Linked DNA regions of Nothobranchius furzeri. The protein of the gene in region 2 purifies or fractionates together with the protein of the main gene of each other region. This does not show direct contact. Links are inferred from orthologs where the notes say so. Each region holds a gene or a part of one and is shown on either strand. Other genes may lie near its edges. The genes, in order: topbp1, atr and claspin.

What was found.
Region 1: the proteins of atr (region 2) and topbp1 purify together in Homo sapiens (affinity purification with western blotting; 8 studies listed by BioGRID). This does not show direct contact. The link is inferred for Nothobranchius furzeri from reciprocal best matches to the Homo sapiens genes ATR and TOPBP1.
Region 3: the proteins of atr (region 2) and claspin purify together in Homo sapiens (affinity purification with western blotting; 3 studies listed by BioGRID). This does not show direct contact. The link is inferred for Nothobranchius furzeri from reciprocal best matches to the Homo sapiens genes ATR and CLSPN.

The regions. Positions count from the first base shown.
Region 1 is NC_091747.1:45,076,840-45,081,087, reverse strand, and holds the start of topbp1 (DNA topoisomerase 2-binding protein 1), read right to left. Parts: upstream 2,816-4,248; 5' UTR 2,622-2,815; intron 2,448-2,621; 5' UTR 2,442-2,447; coding exon 2,355-2,441; intron 2,278-2,354; coding exon 2,143-2,277; intron 2,045-2,142; coding exon 1,901-2,044; intron 1,815-1,900; coding exon 1,633-1,814; intron 1,544-1,632; coding exon 1,350-1,543; intron 1,274-1,349; coding exon 1,097-1,273; intron 1,019-1,096; coding exon 852-1,018; intron 771-851; coding exon 607-770; intron 281-606; coding exon 51-280; intron 1-50. UniProt on the Homo sapiens protein: Scaffold protein that acts as a key protein-protein adapter in DNA replication and DNA repair. Composed of multiple BRCT domains, which specifically recognize and bind phosphorylated proteins, bringing proteins together into functional combinations.
Region 2 is NC_091758.1:22,170,048-22,172,824, reverse strand, and holds the end of atr (serine/threonine-protein kinase ATR), read right to left. Parts: intron 2,233-2,777; coding exon 2,082-2,232; intron 1,997-2,081; coding exon 1,840-1,996; intron 1,711-1,839; coding exon 1,557-1,710; intron 1,391-1,556; coding exon 1,239-1,390; intron 1,111-1,238; coding exon 1,005-1,110; intron 892-1,004; coding exon 718-891; 3' UTR 532-717; downstream 1-531. UniProt on the Homo sapiens protein: Serine/threonine protein kinase which activates checkpoint signaling upon genotoxic stresses such as ionizing radiation (IR), ultraviolet light (UV), or DNA replication stalling, thereby acting as a DNA damage sensor.
Region 3 is NC_091759.1:26,753,835-26,757,969, reverse strand, and holds the start of claspin, read right to left. Parts: upstream 2,853-4,135; 5' UTR 2,718-2,852; coding exon 2,691-2,717; intron 2,095-2,690; coding exon 1,986-2,094; intron 1,910-1,985; coding exon 1,587-1,909; intron 1,506-1,586; coding exon 1,359-1,505; intron 1,243-1,358; coding exon 1,183-1,242; intron 1,103-1,182; coding exon 1,030-1,102; intron 951-1,029; coding exon 848-950; intron 1-847.

The DNA.
Region 1 (4,248 bases), on a different chromosome or scaffold from region 2:
AAAACCCCCACATCTAATGCAGAATAAATCCTGCAAAAGCACACTCCCACCAACTGTTGGGTCGCCGTCCATGTACTGTGAGAGCAGATCCTCATCTGCCGTCTTTAACCTGGGAGTGGTTGGACTGGGAACAAGCGGTCCGGCTGATGATCTGGGAGGTGGCACGGATGCTGCAGCTGCAGCAGGAGGAAGGCAGTCAGGGTGGAGGTATCCTTCCTCTGGGAGCAGAGCGCCTCTAGAGAAACTATCCAGCAGCCACTGCACTGTTACCACATGAGGCCTGGAGAATCACAAAAACACACCTAGTTTATTTCAGGTCAGTTTCACGTTTCTAGAATTGTTTATTTTATGTTCCGGTTTTTGCAGATCAAACAAAAGATCAAATGTTTTATTAACCCTAAAAAGCATACTGATTTATTTAGGAATACATTTTTTAATACCTTGATTGTTTAAAAGATCAAAACAAGACATTTTAAAAGTTTAAAGCACATTTTTATTGTTTAAATAAGAATTATTTGTAAATTACAGTAAATCTGTAAGGCTTGTCACCACCAGCATTCACACGTTCATTCTGTTTGTTTCACAGCCAGACATTATTATTTCTACCTATAAGTGGCTTTAGAGAGAAACTTGTGGAGCTCCTGGTCCAGCTCTCCCATCACCACATGAGTCAGTTCCTCACAGGGTTGGTTGAAGCGCAGACCTCCGCCAGCGTTTACAAGTCGCCGCAGCTTCTCCAACTTCTTCACCGGAAAGCCACAGAGATACAGCTGTGCAGCAATAGAACAACAATAATATCACCTCAAATTGACTAAAATAACTATAGAGAATAAAAAAGTTTATGTTTTTACCTTACAGCCATCCAAAACATCATCGACAGGACAAACGGTGAGATCAAGGCAATCTACGGGGTCCGACGTCTCCACACGACTCACGGTGGAGTTGGTGAGGGCAGTGTCATTTACCCCAACGCTAGCACTGACAGAAATGTTGCTCAAGCCCAGCAGAGACGGACCATCTAGAGACAAAATGCAGATGTGATTATTAAAGATGCTCAATTTTTAAATAACTAAAAGACGCGTGGCAAGCAGCCGACCTTGCCGCTTGCTGGTGCCAGTAGGAGTAGAGGTGTGCGGTGCGGAGGTTTTTGATGAACGGCGGTCCACGGCGTACCTGCTCTCATCTTGACAGAAACCCTTCTCTATGCTGTCAAAGAGCCAGTTTACAGACACGCAGTAAACATTCCACTTCTTGGCGCATTCGTACTTCTGACCTGGAGCACCGATAAAACGGATTCTTAGAGGGTTTGTAATAAATCAACAAGTTCCCCAAAGCCGTTAGTGACTTACCAGTTGGTTCACTAACAATCAGGTGTGTGCAGTCGTTCATTTTGAGCTGGCCAGTGTATTTAGCTCCGTGCTGCTCACAGAGCCGCTGCACCTCCTTACGCTCCAGGCTGGAGAGGCCCGTCACACAAACTGTACAGCCAAGCAACACGGGACACAGATAATCCTCCACTGGCAAGTCTGTATACCTTAAAAGACTGGGAACAAAATGGTGTAAAGAGGTGGTTTTAGAACAAAACCTTTAGAATTAGCCGTTTTTATTTTTTAGTTTAATCAAGCTGAACACCTATCCTGGGTCTTCTCCCAGCAGGCTTTGACCCACGAGGGCAGAAGGATGGGTTTACCCAGGTTGGCAGCCACCAGGTATTTTTTACTTCCAACCTCTCCTGCAATCAGGTGCGTGACAAACACATTGAGATCAAGACTGGCCCGTCCACCCATCAGTTGCACCAGATCCATCACTTCTGTCTGCAGAAACACAAATTAGAAAATAAAAGCAACAGTCTTCAAATTACATTAAGAAGACTAACTAACTAACTAACTAACTAACTAACCCGTGTTGCTTTGTCCAGGCTGGTGCAGGAAATGGTCACATCAGCCATTGCCATATTATACACAGGTTTCTCTGCTTTGGGGACACAGCGCTGATTCTGTAAGCAGTACAGCACCACCAGTGGACTCACGATTCTGCAGCCAAGCTGCAGGACAAACGGAGGCAAAAGAAGAGTTTTCCTCAAAGAGTTTCAATAATCCCAACAGGACTTATAATTTCAGAGTGTGACAAACGGAATCAGACCTGCATACAGTGCAGGAAAGCTGGAGAGGTGAAGCTGCTCAACACAAACAGAGACCTGTCCTTCTGCTTCATCTGCAGCACATCTTCTTCCTTAATGGTTTGTAAATACTTTTCAGACTGCAGCTCCAAAATGGCCTGAATAAAATACGACAGAATTAGAATCACTAAATGCAAATAAATAAACAAACATTAAGCAAGGCAGTGAGATTTACCTCATACGCTTTGGTGGCATGATCTGTCAGAGATCCTTCACTTTCCACAAACTTCACTAAGAGGCATTCCTTGTTTCCTTTAAGCATGTTGAACTTGGAATAAACACAGTATGTTACAGTTGCCACTTGATGGAAGCAGTATCTAAAATTACAGGAATTTATTTATAGACTAAAGCTTCAGCTGTAATAAGTCTTAAGTTACTAGCTAATGTTCACTTTTAGCCTGATCATATCAGCCTAATAACTAAAAACATGGACTATACTCACCTCCTATGGTTGGACTCCGGCTGGTAGTGAATATAAAGACATTTCCGTTTCTACTTAAATTCGGTAAAAACTAACTTTTTATAACAAACGATGTTGAGTTTTAAATGGCTGCTGCTAACTTAGCCGGTTACAACGTGAAAATGTTTAGAAAAAATGTAAAACTCGTTTTTTTAGGACAAACCGGCATAAAATCGCCACAACATTAAATAAATATACAAATAATTTATAGTACGAAAATTTAAGCTAATTGTTGACAGTTCGCGCCTTTCACGGAACTTCCGGTCCTACTTGCTAATCTGTCCGAGTAGAACATCGCCTCTGTGGCTAATAATAATAATAACTATAACATTCCTGAAGAAATTTGGGACCTGCCACCTGGCACAATAAAATGATCATGCATATGTAAAAAAAAAGGGACTCTTTAGAGAACCTGTACATATTTAATTGCTTATTATTCAAATGTCATGCAATTTTACAGTGGCACACAATCAAAATGAAAAAAAAATATCGGAGTTTTTTTGCTAATACTTTTTTTTTTGTTGCAAAAATCAAACAGCAGTGTGCTAATCATGTCTATGGCCGTGTTACAAATTTATACACAATAAACAGACCTTTTGCACTGATTACAATATAAAAATAACAATGCAGTAGAGTACTTTAGTAAATGAGGCATTAAAAAGTCCTATCTTACAAAATATCTCCAATGGGCCGAGCCACCTCACCTTCACCTGGTCCTGACAGCGCCACCTCTCCACCTCCGGTGGGCTGTCACTCCTCTTTTCCGTCTGTTTCGACCGGCGCCATCGCGGAACCTCCAATGGGCCAAGCCACCACACCTCCACCAGGTCCAGTGGGCGTTTACGGCGTTATCCCCGCACCTCCGAGGAGCCGTGCTCGTCGCAGATGTCATCGCCATCACCAGCAGTCTCCTGAGACCAGAGTTGTGCCGCCTAACCCAGAGGCCCCTGCTCTGCAACCCAAATCTGAACTCATCCAGTCGTCTGAAGCCAGAGCTGTGCTGCCTGACCAAGAGGCCCCTGCTCTGCAGCCCGAGCCAGAACTCCTGAACTCATCTACAGCCAGAGTTGTGCCCCCTATCTCAGAGGCCCCTGCTCTGCAACCCAAACCTGAGCTCATAAAGCCATCTTAAGTTAGAGTTGTGCCGCCGAACCAAGAGGCCCCTGCTCTACAGCCCAAGCCAAGACTCATGAATCCATCAGACGCCAGAGCTGTGCGGCCTACCCAAGAGGCCCCTGCTCTGCGACCCGCGTCTGAGCTTCATCCTGCTCCAGCGGTGGTCCCGAAGGACGCATCGCATCCTGCTCCAGCGGTGGTCCCGAAGGACGCATCACATCCTGCTCCAGCGGTGGTCCCGGAGGACGCATCGCATCCTGCTTCAGCGGAGGTCCCGTAGGACACTGCGCATCCAGTCCAGCTCGTCCACGAGCCCCCAGTCCAGCCCGTCCAAGGGGCTCCGGTCCAGTCCATCCAAGAGGCTCCGGTCGACGCCTCCTGTCCAAGGGTTGACGCCTCCTGTCCAAGGGTCGACGCCTCTGAGGTAGACGTTTCCAGCTCTGGGGTAGACGTTTCCGGCTCCAGCTCTGAAGTCGACGTCTCCCCGCCTTCA
Region 2 (2,777 bases):
GGACGTTAAAAGATGTGTTAAAATGTTAAAAGTAACGATATATATTTTTTAAATCCCTAAATCCTCCGACTTCCGGTTCATGATTTTCAAAATAAAACCGTGGCGATCTATGGGAATAAGCACAACTTCACTCGTTTCACAATGTTATTTCAATTATAAATAGAACAAAAAAAGCACACAATAAATGGCGGTTGTGAAACAATCAGTGTTAGTCCTTCATGCTCTTGTTGCATTAAAACATGGAAAAGCAGCCCATGCATTAATAAAAACATTAGGCAGCAATATAAAAAAAGTTTTATGTCTGAACCTCCAACTACTGTACTGCTAGCTTAAACATATACACTGAATATAACCTATTTTAAACAGCAACCTTTCACTGAGTCCTCTTAGCTTCTTAAACATTGTGAAAGAAGCAGGATGTCGACAGGAAAAGAGCAACAAGACAAGGGATTAAAAACAATCAGCTGACAGTCTGAACTAATTGCGTCTCAACAGAGGGTTAAAAGATTAAAAATGCTTTTAAAAGGCACATTTACAAATGGACATTTTGTTTATTAGAGAAGAACAAATATGTAAATTTAACATTTCCAGAGAACGGAAAACTTCAAAACAGCAACAGAAACTTCAGGACAAATACTGAACCATCCGTTTTTCATTCAACAGTCCAAAGTGCTGTAACGGCAGGGTCAAGAACTAACTTCATTAGCTGAGGTATTCTTATAGGTACGGGCCCCAGCCCAGGTACATCTGACAGAGCAGTTTCTCATCTGTGGCTTCGTGGATTAAGTAGTGCACGTGTCCCTCTATAGACAGAGGCAGACCAAGCACTTTATTCCTGCTCTTGATCACCCCCTGAAGACGCTGCTCGATGTCACACACATGTGTTTTAGCCTGGAAGAAATGGATACAACAGTAAATTACAGGATTAAATAACATATATATGTGTATCATAGGGAAATATTACTGATGTGTTGCTCCCACCCAACAAAAATGAAACACCACACCTTTTCATTGACTATCTCTCCTGTCTCACTGGCAGGAGTTTTCGATAGTCCTTTGGCTGGTTTGCTCCACTCAACCAGAGGGTCATGAAGGAAGGTTTTAAGCACACTGAAATGGAGAGAAAAAACTTAACTAACAATTTTGTGACAGAAAAAATGCAGCAATGACTAGTAATAACATTAAAGTACAAAGTAAACTAGTAAAAGTTTATAAAATTATATTTTTTGTGTGTTTACCTCATGAGCGACTCCCTCTGGTCTCTCATTAGTCTTATTGTGACCTCGCAGGCCTGTCGAAACAGGCCCTCGGTGCCCATGGGCCCCATAGCATGAACCATGTTTTGGGTCAGGCGGAAAGGCACCACCTCAGGCACGTCGAATGTCTCCCCCTAGAGGACAGAACGAGAATTGCACCAGAGATGTTCAGACAAAAGAGAAAGATGCAAAAGTAGTGGCTAAAACTAAATACAACATTGGTTCTTTATTATCTCATTTATTGTTTTTATATTAAATTTTTTTTATTAATAGATATTTTAGTTTGGGACAAAGACGAACCTTGTTGAAGAGGCAGTTAAAGTCAACGTGAACACATTCACCAGTGAACGAGTCAAAAAGGATGTTTTCACCATGGCGATCTCCCAGACCCAGGATGTAGCCCACCATGGACATCACAGCAGTGGAGCGGCAGTATGCAGAGCGACTGCTGTACCTGTACACACACACACACATGCATGCATACCAGAGACAAAAACAGTAACTGTGTGAGTCAAACAGCACATGGTCAGACACTAAAATGACATCCTCCTTTATATATATATGCTGGAAGGATCTAGAGTACCAGGACGTTGGATCAGGGAAGGTACGGAGGAACCACTCATAGAAGACAGGAGGATGTCGAGAGCACAGCACCTCCTTGTGGATTCGCAGTTTCTCCTCAAAAGGAGCCGTCTTTGGCAGGATAAGCTTCCTCAGCTCTTTACCCGACAGGTAGATGCCTTAAAAAAGCCACAGACACAATTTGTCAAAAGTTTTCATTCATACTGATCTCCTCTTGAACTTCCCAGCCTCGTATGAGAGTACCTCTCTCTTTGTACAGCTTTGTGAGGATGTGTCGCAGCCCAGCCGTGTTGTTGACCCATTCAATGATGCCACACTCCTCGTTGAGGGGTATCACAGCGTAGGTGCGGATATGCAATTCTCTTCGCCTCGATTCGGCATCTTTACGGAGGCACTGCAGACAAAAGCATCACAAAGACGTATCAGTTAGGTGGCTTTTTCTGTAAGACACAATCTATTTCAATCATGATCCATCGGTCCTGCATCAAAACTGTTATTTGTGTATTTATGTAGCAGATGACTCCACTGTCATCGGACTCATCTCTGACTTGGATGAGTCTGCCTACAGAATGGAGGTCGAACATCTGGTCTCCTGGTGCACCCACAGCAACCTGGTGCTAAACGCACAGAAGACAGCGGAGGTTGTTGACGGTTGTTGTGGAAGCACACAGCCCCCCTCCTCCATAGCCCTGTCTGACACTCCTATCATGATGGTGGACTCCTGTCGCTTCCTGGGCACCACCAACACCCAGGAGGACCTCAAGTGGGAGCCCACCATCACCTCCGTCATGGAGTCACCATCATCCTCACCTCCTCTATCACTGTGTGGTATGCTGGAGCTACCTCCAGGGACAAGAAGAAGCTGCAGTGTGTTGTGCGCTCTGCTGAGAAGGTCATTGGCTGTAAACTCCCCTCCATACAGGACCAGTACATGCAGGT
Region 3 (4,135 bases), on a different chromosome or scaffold from region 2:
GCCGCGTCGACCCAACCCAACCCAGGGCCACGTCGACCCAACCCAGGGCCGCGTCGACCCAACCCAACCCAGGGCCGCGTTGACCCAACACAACCCAGGGCCGCGTCAACCCAACCCAGGGCCGCGTCGACCCAACCCAGGGCCGCGTCGACCCAACCCAACCCAGGGCCGCGTCGACCCAACCCAACCCAGGGCCGCGTCGACCCAACCCAACCCAGGGCCGCGTCAACCCAACCCAGGGCCGCGTCAACCCAACCCAGGGCCGCGTCGACCCAACCCAACCCAGGGCCGCGTCGACCCAACCCAACCCAGGGCCGCGTCGACCCAACCCAACCCAGGGCCGCGTCGACCCAACCCAGGGCCGCATCGACTCAACCCAGGGCCGTGTCGACCCAACCCAACCCAGGGCCGCGTCGACCCAACCCAGGGCCGCGTCGACCCAACCCAGGGCCGCGTCGACCCAACCCAGGGCCGCGTCGACCCAACCCAACCCAGGGCCGCGTCGACCCAACCCAGGGCCGCGTCGACCCAACCCAGGGCCGCGTCGACCCAACCCAACCCAGGGCCGCGTCGACCCAACCCAACCCAGGGCCGCGTCGACCCAACCCAGGGCCGCGTCGACCCAACCCAACCCAGGGCCGCGTCGACCCAACCCAGGGCCGCGTCGACCCAACCCAACCCAGGGCCGCGTCGACCCAACCCAACCCAGGGCCGCGTCAACCCAACCCAACCCAGGGCCGCGTCAACCCAACCCAACCCAGGGCCGAGTCGACCCAACCCAACCCAGGGCCGCGTCGACCCAACCCAGGGCCGCGCCAACGCAGGGCTACTAGTTGTTACTGTTTACTTCAGCAGCGCCATGGCCGATCCCTCCGGCCGGGTCCTCCTCTTGAAGAACTGCTCGATGGTTTTGGGTTCAGGGATGTGGTATGGCAACCCAAGCGTCGACTCTACAGACGCAGAGAAACGTTTAGCGTGTTGCAGATCAAACCCCTGCAGCTAAAGCAGAGCAGAGCCAGGGGAACTGACCTCGGACCAGCCTCTGGCTCTCACTGTGAAGCTGCTTCATCGCCTCCTTGCTGGCTCGAGCTGCTTTCCGTTCCTGGAGCCCCCAGAGACAATCAGTTTATTCTACCTTCAGTCCGAGTCGTCTACCTGGTCTAACGTGGTGCTGTATCCTACCGCTCGCTGGGGCTTCTCTGGGACCTCTTCATCCTCCTCCTCTTCCTCCAGGAGGGGGTCCTACAGTCACATTTAACAAGTTTAGTCAAAACTTCCTCCTGAAACACGTCCGGACTCTTCTCATCCAGAACACGAGCGGAGTTAGGGTCAGAGTGACGTAAACATCTTGTTCTTACTTTGTGTTTCTTCACTTTCTGTCTGACCGCAGCTCTGATGGCGTCCAGAGACTCCTCCTCCTCCTCCTCCTCCAGACCGGTGCTAAACAGCTCTGGATCACCCAGAGGACAGCCGCTGTCGTTCAGCGCTGGAGGAAGAGGAACGTCCTGATGGAAAGAGCAAAAGGTGACCAGTTTATTTTTAAGATTTCTGGATTTATTTGGATGAAAATTTCAGACGGAACTCACCTCCTCTCCTCCACCAGACCTCCTTCTCCTTTTCAGGCTTTCCACCACTTTGCTGCGTTTTTCTTTCTTCTTTCGATGCCTTTGACTCTTCTCTCTTTTATTCTCCTCCTCTTCCTCGTGCTCTCCATCGCTACCATCAGATGCACGAGCCTTTCTGTTGCTCCTCTGTCCTCCTTTATTCCTCCTCTCTTCGTCCTCACTAGAGGCAGGTACCGCTTCTTCAGACAGCTCCAGGCGTCTTGGTGCCTCCTCTTCCTCACTGTCACTGTCTCTGATGGCGTTACGCCGAGGCTTCCTGTGAACTGTGATGTCATCATCTGAATCTGAGAGAAAAACTGATTTAGGGGACCACGGTTTCTCCTGATTGTCCACGAGCGTCCTGCAGCAGGTCTGTCTCACCTGGACACTCATCTCCTCTATCAGACGTCTCTGGGACCTCCTCCTCTGCAGGAGGACCCATCCCGCTGTCCCAGTGGCTCTGTGGTGCTGCTCGGGCCAACGCCTCAGTCTGAAGAGAGACAGACTTCAGAGCCTGTGTGTGTGTGTGTGTGTGTGTGTGTGTGTGTGTGTGTGTGTGTGTGTGTGTGTGTGTGTGTGTGTGTGTGCGTGTGTGTGTGTGTGTGTGAGAACCGGGTCTAGAACCCGTAGCTGTTCCACCTCTCACACCAGAGCCGTTTGACCTGGTTCGGACTGGTTTCCGGGCCACAGAGAGACACTGGTCTGGGACCAGTCCTGATCAGAAACACGGTCTGGGTCAAGGCGGACTAGCTGATCCCAGACCAGCTGCTAGCCGGATTCATGGCGCCTTCGGTCAGTAAAACAATGAATCAACGTCACAGCTGGATAACCGTGTCGGACCGAACGCCCAGCTGTCCGGTAACGGCTACCGGACCTTCGGACTGTTTGATGTGACTTTTTAACGGAGCTCTACCGAATTAGAACGAGGTGAACGGAAGAACCGATTCCTCGGTGTTAGCAGCTAAGCGGCTAACAGCACCTTAGCACCTTGTTGGTGACGTTTCCCTCCAGCACGCTGAACACACACCTGTCTCACATGTACCTGTCTGTACACCTTCCACTGACGCCGCCTGCTAGCGTCTTTACCTGCAGGTGAGACAGGACAAGGCTCATCTTTGTGCTCCGGTTGGTCCGCCCGCTCCCGGCAGGGACGAGGCTCCGTCCGCTCCTCTAACGGCTACAGCCGCTACCGACACCGAGAACAACGTGTCCGTGAAAAGAACTCTACTGCAGCTCCTTACCGAACAGCTAGGCCGCGTTTTACCGGACAGCTCCGCTTCCTCCCGCCTCACCCGCTCACCGAACACAAAGTTTACACTTTCGCGCGCCGTGACAGCTGGCCCGCGGTCTTTCACCAGCGAGCTGTCAGTCCAGCGCTTCTCGCCCTGCTATTGGACCATCTGTGACGGAGGTATCCGCCCAGTGTGACGACACAGTTAGTGGAGGAATTAAAACATCCACCAGCGCTGCGCAGGCGGGCGGCTAAGTTTGCTGCGCCCCACAGGATTCAGGCTTGTACTGTTTTTGAGACAGCGCCGCCCACTGTTAGCTAGCGTTCCAAGATGGAGTACGATCGGAAAGTTTTTTATTTTTGTTTCTACAAACAACTTCAATTAAATAAATATGATAAAAGCTTTTATTATTAAAATTTACTCAGGAATTTTCAAATTTGTATTCTGAGAACTACTTCACTGAAGCGTTAACAACGAATAAACTATTTTAATAAGCTTCACCGACAATTACATATTATTTATAAATAACGGTTAAGCTTGAATCTGCAGTTGCAGTTACACGTTGATCCTTTAGAGGTCGCTGTCTCAAAACAGTACAAGCCTGAATCTGCGGTCTCCGGGTCTTCTGTAAGTGCACTTGGGCACGTGCGCAGGCTCGAGTGCACGACCGTGCGTTAGAAGAATCTCACCCCTCTCTCTGCAGTACGCTCAACATAGAAATACGACAATAGATGAACCCCGACTGGTTTCTGGTGGTACGCTGACCTCCTCAACACAGGTCCTGGAGAGACATCACTTTCCTCTGCTTTTCATGTCCTCCTATGGCAGGCACCATCTCTGCTTGAGCCACAACAGCTTGCCTTCTCACCACATTGTTCCTCCTAAAAGGCGTCTTTGCTCTTCAGCAGATTATGACGGTACCTTCTGAGTTTACGACCTTCAGGTCTTACTTCATATGATCTTGGGTCAGCTTACTGAGGAACAATGGCGTTTCTGCTCCATGCATTTTGATCTTGGCCTCTCACCACATCATCCTTTGTAAGCAGTCTAAGTGCCCTTGTGGTCTTGTCATAATGCTGTTTTTGTCTGCATTTTAGATTCTCTTGTTTTTCCAGAATCCATGCCATCCCAGTCTCTGACTCAGACCAAGGTAGGCTCCTTAACTTCAGGGTGTTCAGGATCTTTAATTGAATCCAATAAAACACCAAATAGAGCTCAGTGTGACAACTCAAATAAGAAAACCTACCTAAAGGATGAAGCTTCTCCCCCCTTGCTGTTGATGTTAGAGGCTTCACATTT